Coturnix japonica: one gene and its partner. The protein of the gene in region 2 purifies or fractionates together with the protein of the main gene of each other region. This does not show direct contact. Links are inferred from orthologs where the notes say so. Each region holds a gene or a part of one and is shown on either strand. Other genes may lie near its edges.

Evidence for each region. The genes of interacting proteins can lie anywhere in the genome.
Region 1: the proteins of DUSP8 (region 2) and MAPK8 purify together in Homo sapiens (affinity purification with mass spectrometry; 3 studies listed by BioGRID and IntAct, counting the BioPlex papers as one, with this or other methods). This does not show direct contact. The link is inferred for Coturnix japonica from reciprocal best matches to the Homo sapiens genes DUSP8 and MAPK8.

The regions. Positions count from the first base shown.
Region 1 is NC_029521.1:15,676,709-15,680,780, forward strand, and holds the start of MAPK8 (mitogen-activated protein kinase 8), read left to right. Parts: upstream 1-1,188; 5' UTR 1,189-1,299; intron 1,300-4,072. UniProt on the Homo sapiens protein: Serine/threonine-protein kinase involved in various processes such as cell proliferation, differentiation, migration, transformation and programmed cell death.
Region 2 is NC_029520.1:10,373,688-10,377,331, reverse strand, and holds part of DUSP8 (dual specificity protein phosphatase 8), read left to right. Parts: intron 1-644; coding exon 645-804; intron 805-1,008; coding exon 1,009-1,132; intron 1,133-1,494; coding exon 1,495-2,572; 3' UTR 2,573-3,644. UniProt on the Homo sapiens protein: Has phosphatase activity with synthetic phosphatase substrates and negatively regulates mitogen-activated protein kinase activity, presumably by catalysing their dephosphorylation.

The DNA of each region.
Region 1 (4,072 bases), on a different chromosome or scaffold from region 2:
TGTCTGATCATGATCTAACATAATTCAACAGGAAGTCTCAAACCTGAAAGCTGGCTATGTCACTTCTGGGTCTGTCTCATGGAATGACAGGTGGTGAGGCAGGAGTGGCTACCTTGGTAACATGCTTACAGTGTAGTGGGATCCAGGGACACCTGGGAGCAGTCTGAACAACAGTTTTGTTTTATTTTGTTTTCCTATAAATTGTTATGTATAGGTCTATAGGGAACTGCAAAGGAACAACTTCTAACTTAAGGGGTTGAAATAGGATTGTTTGTATTGAGAATTTTAAGGTCAGACAGTGCAGATATTTCCATAAAATGGGAATGTGAGTAGTATACAGCTTTTGACATTATGACAGTGGGTAAGACTGGAACATCTGAAGCAGTATCCTTACTAGTTAAAAATCTATTTTTTGTTTCAGAGATGTGGAAAGACAATCTCACTGCATTATTTTGCATCTTCAAAAATGTGGCACAAGCCATTCCAATGTTTGACAGTAAGATGTGAAGCGTCCAATTCACTGTGCCCTGTGCCTAACTGGTAGATTTTATGTATTTTTAAAGACTCTTCCGGAGGTTTTATTTTTAGTACTACGCAGTGTAAGTATACAAAGGCTTGTTTCAGCCATATTGACATGACTTCAAGGTATGGAGTCTGTAGACAGGGGTATTGCTGGTTGAAAGGAGAAAAACAGAGGAGGGAAGGGAAAGGAAAGGAAGAATAACAAACAGAACATTGTAAAAACAAAGCAGAGCACCCATGGGAGGTGCCAAGAGCTAAAGGTGGTGGTAATAACTCAAAATCTCACAAATAGCTGCCTAAAGCTTAGAGAACAAACGGTGCCAAACCAGATACAGAAGATGTTACACCACTCCAGATACCCAGCAATGAGATAAAGCACTGCCATTCCAGATGTTCAGGGGGAAGGCTAGGACTGCCAAGGCCTTGCAGGATGTCTGGGAACACTAGGAAACGGAGGAGAGCATGAAGGCAAACACCTGAAAAACGCAGTTTTGTTACAGCAGGCCCGGGTACAGGGCATAATGCTGGGAAGGAGCAGGCACAGCCCAGCAGACACCAGACCGGGCTCAGCGGCAGCGCTGGCAGCCTGCAGCCTCCCGCAGGGCCCGTGCCCGGAGGGGCGGCTCAGGGGCGGCGGGGGCCGGGCCGGGCGTGCGGGCGGAGCGAGCGGAGGGGGCGGGCAGCCGCAGCCGCGCCGGGCGGACGAAGCGCGGTGCGTGTGCGCGGCCCGGCCCCGGTTCATTATTCAGCGGCCGAGGAAGGAGGCGACGGGAGGTGGTATGTGCGGTGCCTGGGGTTGAGGAGGGATGGCGGTGGCGGCGGCTGGGAAGCGGGGCTGGAGCCGGGCGGGTGTGCAGGGAGCGGCAGCGCTGCGGGGGCCGGGCCTGGCCGCTTTGTTTACGTTCCAGCGCGGGGCAGCGGGCCGGCAGCGAGCGTGGCGTGGCCCTTTTCTTCCTGCGGGGTTGTCTGCGTTCGTGACCTTCCCTGCGCGCCGGGCTCCGCTGCGGCCCGGCGGTGCGGGGGCTGCTGGAGGTGCCTGGGCGGATAATGGCGGGGGCCTCTTTGTTGATGTGACAGGAGGGGCAGCAGCCTCGGCGCCGGGCTCCTCCTCTTCCCCGGGCGGGGGGCAGCAGCCCAGGCCGTGGGCAGCTCTGGCAGCCCGGCCCTCGGTGCGGGGAGGTGCGAGCGCAGCCGTGCTCAGCCACCTCTGTGCTGAACTTCCATGACCTTGCTTTCAAAACGCCTTCTGAAGCAAAAAGCACTTCCCATAACTGCTCCGATTATAGGGCTTGGGGAAGGTGGGCAATGCCTTTGATTCTTTTGCCTTTTAGTTTTTGTAATCCTTGTAAAAACAGTGAGCTCTTTGCAATTTTTCTTTGCACTTTGTTTTCTCCATGTCATTATCAGCATCCAGTTTGGCTCCTGTAGCCTGCTTTCTTATGTTCAGTGCAGTGCTTTCACCAGTGAATCCTGGCCCAGGCACTGCTGATAACCCACAGATACAAGTCCCACTCAATTGTTTAGTTCCCCCAGCTATACATGTGGCATGGCTTTGAATTTCTGTATCATGCAGAGCAGGCTTGCTGAAGTCTTTCAGACAGTCCAAAAACCTTGTGTGTTTTGGCCTATCTGATAACACAAAAGGTGCTGTACTGGTTTGTGGAAGGTGAGTTTTGCTTGCCTCCTGGGCATGTGCTTGTAGCATTTAGCAAGCTTACATTACAGCTGGCTTCTTTGTATAGGTGTGGAGACTTGGCTGTAATGGCACACAGCTGAGCTGCTGAGACACAGCCTTGTTTCTGAAGATGCCAGCAGAGGTGCTTCTAGGGCAGAAGCACATGTAGAAGCGATAATGCACCTCACTGTATCTGTATATCTGCAGATATGTTGATAGATAACTTTGAACTAGTTCAGAGTGTTATTACATGAAGAGAATCTGGGCCCAACCTGGTTAAGGATAGTATCCAAGTGAGCTCACTGATGAATTTGAGTATTCCTTCTGTATAGTGAAGGGAAGCCCTTCCTTCAGCAGTAGCAAAGAAAAATGGGTTGTATTTTGAGTAGTCTTGTTCTATGATCTCAACATGTGGGGGAAGCCATCTTGTCATTCCCCACTTGATTCAAAGATGTGTAGCATGGGCTGGTTAGATAGGAGCAGTGATCATCCCACATCAGTTTCCTTTCTTTGCTGTAGCTTTTGCTCTGTGGTCTCAGTTTCCTCCCTTGAGTTTGAGTGCCAAGAAGCTCTGATGGGAATGTCTGGTTCTGGTAGAGTGCTGCAACACACGTGATGCCTGTACAGGCATCAGGCACATTCCAGTCTGTCAGATACTGGCAGTTTTCAGGGCCAACTGGCTGAAAGTGTGACAGGAGGGAAGAATCAAACGTTTATTGACAGACATTTATTAACACAGAGCTGAATCTGTGTGAAATCGTTGCCTTAACTTTGAACGGGAATGTTAACTGTGTCCTCTGCTCTCCCAAGCTTTTTTGACCAGGGGTGCCTCCACTTCACAAGATACAATATAATCTCATGAAGTGCCGTATACTTCATGGAGACTTCTTGATCAGCGACTCGGACAAAACCCGTTTACTGCGGTACTGAATTTTGTGGTTGGGGACTACTCGTTCTAGGTAGAAGTACAGCTGCCCTTTTGTATGTGTGGCTTTTGTGTTTTAACTTCCAGTAACTGAAAGCTCATTAGGGAGCAAGGCTTTAGCTGGCTGCGTGGGAGAGCAGATGTAACAACCTTCCAAATTCTTCAGGTAAACTTGTTACATTGTTTCCCTGTTACCAAACTACCGGGAATTGACCACGTGTTTGCGTATTTCATCCATTGAAGTCATTTTCTTCCACCAATGTACCAGAACTTGTTCCTTGTGGTTTCTTTCAGCTACTAACGGGTTATCTGTTCCTTTTATATTCCCTTTGTTGTTTTGGTTTGTCCTTTCTTCCTCAACCGCCAAATTATCTGAATGGCTATTCTTTAAAAGATGCATAGAAAGTACCTGCATACATACCTCTTCCTTTCTGCAGTTTTCTCCCGTGTTCTTGATAAATGCAAATCACTTTGATAGTCTGATGAAGAGTTTAGTATTCCATGCCTTAAACTTCATTCTCTTCCTCCTCTTTACCTGTGGGAGAACGTGCTGTGTTTACAGTGTTCTTAAAAAGTGTTATTTTAATGTAATTTTTGTGTTCAAGAAAAGTTTGGATGTTGTGTTGAGGGATATGTTTTAACTGGGAAATATTGGTGTTGGTTGGACTGGATGATCTTCTAGGTCTTTTCCAACCTTGATAATTCTGTAATTCTGTTTGTTTGTTTGTTTTTTCTACTGCTTTTCATCATAGATTTTTAATAAAGACAGAATATTTTCTCTCTGTAAATGTTTTCTTCAAACAAATAAACCCTGAGTTGTTCTTCATTCAAAACCTGCAGAAACAGAAATCTGTTTATATTATGGGAAGATCTCTTGGTCCTTGAAAGCTGTTTAAAAATCAAATTGAAACTACTTGTGTAGTTTTCCTGCTGTGAAGTTCATCAGAGCA
Region 2 (3,644 bases):
GTGATGGTGTCTGCTGAGTGACTGAATCAAAAAGTCACCAAGTAATGTCCAGGTTCACTCCAGAGTCAAAAAGAAGGAAAGGATGGTTCCTCTCAAGAGGATGTTTTAAGTCACAAAAGCCTGAAATGAGTGGTTCACATGAGCCTCTTGTAGGCTAAAATGCAGCACAGTTTAGTGAAGAACTGTGAACAACTAATAAGACTGTAAGAACTCCCAGTGCTTTTCAGTGTTGGTTGGAAGTAAAAAACTGAGTTGACATTGGTTAGCATGGAGTACTACTGATAACCAACTTGGTTGGTGAGATATCAGTCCTCTCTCAGTGGATACTTTCTAAACTTTCTGTGAGACTTTTCATAGGTTTTCTTTCTTACTTTCCCATATGGAATACCTTTCCAGGATTCTTTGGTCATGCTGAGGTACCAAAGTAAAGATCTGCTGAATTACAAGCCTGTACTATGTAAATGGGCACATCTCTCCCAGCCAGTCTGTGATGAGCATCAGTTAGGTAGCATCAGCTGGTTGACCATTTGGGCCAAGGAGCCAGCAGAAGACCTATAGGAGCAAATATTGGGATGGCTAACAGCAAGGATTGTGTGGAGAGGCACATAACTCAGCCGATCCTTCCATTCCTTCTCTACCAACAGGATTTGATGACACAGAATGGGATAAGCTATGTCCTCAACGCCAGCAACTCCTGTCCCAAGCCAGACTTCATCTGTGATAGTCACTTCATGCGCATTCCTGTCAATGACAACTACTGTGAGAAGCTACTTCCCTGGTTGGATAAATCCATTGAATTTATTGGTGAGCTTTCATTACAATAATTACAGGTCCATCAGTTAGCCCTCAAAATCTGGACTCTTTTTCTGTCTTCCTCAGGCCTATTCCCAGCAGCTCTTCTTCTTTCACACACAGGAGCTGAGGGCTGGGGGAAGAGTCTAGAATCATTTTGCACAATGTCTGTGATCACATCAGTGTTTTCTCTCTGTTTTCTCTACCATGCTCCAGACAAAGCTAAGGTGTCCAGCTGCCAAGTGATTGTGCACTGCTTGGCAGGGATATCCCGCTCTGCCACAATCGCTATTGCATACATCATGAAGACCATGGGCATGTCATCTGACGATGCTTACAGGTGAGCATTCACCAGAGGACAGGGAGGGGTTGTACTGGTGTGCCTGAACCCACAGAAGGAAAGCAGTCTGAGCCCAGAAGAAGGGAGTGGTTGCTCCTTGAAGTCTTGCCTTGGCTGAGTGGTGGTGAAACAAAACCAAACCAAACCAGTCCTTCACGTAGTGCATGCAATGGTGGGAGCAGTAAAATGGTGTGTGGCAAAACCCCCAGAATCTGAGCATCCCCAGCTTCAGTCGGGGAGCCCCCAACCACTTTCTTCAGAGGGTTTTGGATAATGTCTCTTCTCCTAAAGAGACAAAGAGATTAGAGGGTGACTTACTGAAGGACTGAACACCAATCAGGGTTGTCTGTACCTCTTGGCAGGTTTGTTAAGGACCGTCGCCCATCGATCTCACCCAACTTCAACTTCCTGGGCCAGCTCCTGGAGTATGAGAGGAGCCTAAAGCTCCTAAAGGCCCTGAAGGCCCAGGGCGACCGGGGTGAGGGAGAAGCTCCTCAGGACACAACCGAGGCATCCGAGGCTGGCAGGCATCCCACACCGTCTACCTCAGAGAAGGTTGAGGACGTACCAAGAAGCACAACCTCTGCACCCCCACCCAGTGACCCTGAAAGGCAAGGTGGGCCACCCAAAGTCTTGTCACCCACGGCACTGCAGCAGGGACTCAATGGCTTGCACCTTTCCTCGGAGCGCATCCAGGACACCAACCGCTTGAAACGCTCCTTCTCCCTGGACATCAAGTCCGCCTACTCCCCCGGCCTGCGGCAGGACCCCCCAGGCCTACCCAGCACTGGGGAGGCCCCCAAGCTCTGCAAGTTGGACAGCCCATCAGCTCCCAGTGGCCAGTTCTCCCCAGTGCCCGATAGCCCTGACCGGCCCAGTGGGCCAGACCTCCTGCTGGAGGCCAAGGTGAGACAGCGACGCAAGCACAGGCACCAAGCTGGCTCACCAGCCCATGGCCTCAGCCTCAATATCAGCTCTGCCCGCAAGAGCCCTGGGGCAGAGGACAGCCTCCAGCCAAGGCTCAGCCTGCCTGGCCCACCACAGGCCTCCAATGGCTCCTGGGGGAACGTCCACCTCGAGTCCCCCAGCACCCCATCCTCTGAGGGAGGATGGTACTTCAGCACAGACTCAGCCAGTAGTGGTGGCAGTGGCACCGGCGGTGGGACGCTGTTCAGTGGCACCAGTCCATACCCCCCATTTAGTTGCAATGGGATGCCAGGAGGCTGCGAGATCAGACTGAGGGACAAGCAGCGGGCTGAGGCCCGGGATGGGAGGCACAGCTGGCATGAGGAAGCCGGCGCAGAGAAGCAGTTCAAGAGGAGGAGCTGCCAGATGGAGTTCGAGGAGACCATGTCTGAGGGCAGGTCCCGGGAGGAGCTGGGCAAAATAGGCAAACAGTCAAGCTTTTCTGGCAGCATGGAGATCATCGAGGTGTCCTGACACCCATCGTGGGTCATTGGAGCAAAGGGGTGGGGGGATATTTAAGATGGGGAGAGATGCAGGGAGGGTGGGTGGGGAGTATTTATACCCGCGTGCGCATTTTTGGGAGCACGCACATCAAAATGAAAGCAAAGAGGAACGAATCCAGAGTCAGGAAACATCACGGTGAATGCTTAGTGTCCCTCCTCATGCCCACTCTGGTTCTCCCACTCTAGCAGTCTCCAGCTCTTGGTGACATCACCCTGGGCTTTTGCACATGGAGCAGTGATGGGAGAGCAGTCCTCAGAGCCCTGTACTCGAATCCGGGGTGTAAAATTTGAAAGGGAAGGGGCAGGAATTACCATTTGGGGTTGGGAGGGTGAGCAGAGCCTATTCCTGCCTGGGGAGGGACGTGGCCCCGTGAGGACAGAGCACAGCATCACTCTGTCAAGGTCAGGAAGAGGCAACCCACCTATCCCTCCCCACACCCCAGTGCACTAAGCATGTGCCCCCATGTTTCTCTGGCTTGAGTATCCTAAAGATGCTGCACTAGAGCAGCCCTATACATATATAAATATATATTATATATAATATAAAGAAAACACACACACACACAAAGGAAAAAAGGCAAATGGTTTTACTGCGATTTTTATTGAGACGTAAATAATATTTCAATTTTTTGTTTTGTTTTTAATTTATTGAAGCTGTTTCATTCTGGCAATGATTTGCAGACAATGTGGGGCGGTACTTTCAGCTCTATTTTTACTGTGTATGGTATTTAAATCTGAAATACGAGTTTCTAAGCAATATCTGAGGCCTGTGGCTCCTTCTATAGATCATGTCGACGACAAAGATTTTCCCCCATTCCCTCTGAGTGCAGCAAAAAGGGGACAGAAAACTCTTTGGAGCACTTTTTCTAGAAACAAACAAGTGAACAAGGAAGTCGTAAAATCTTAAAACACAAACTGAGCCAGAAAACTCCCTTTCTGGAAGCTGCTGCCGCATCTCCGCTCCCTTGGTCCCTGTTTTCTTCCCCTACCCCATCATAGCCATCATTCCCATCCTGGCCATCATCTCCTTCCCTCCGTTGTGC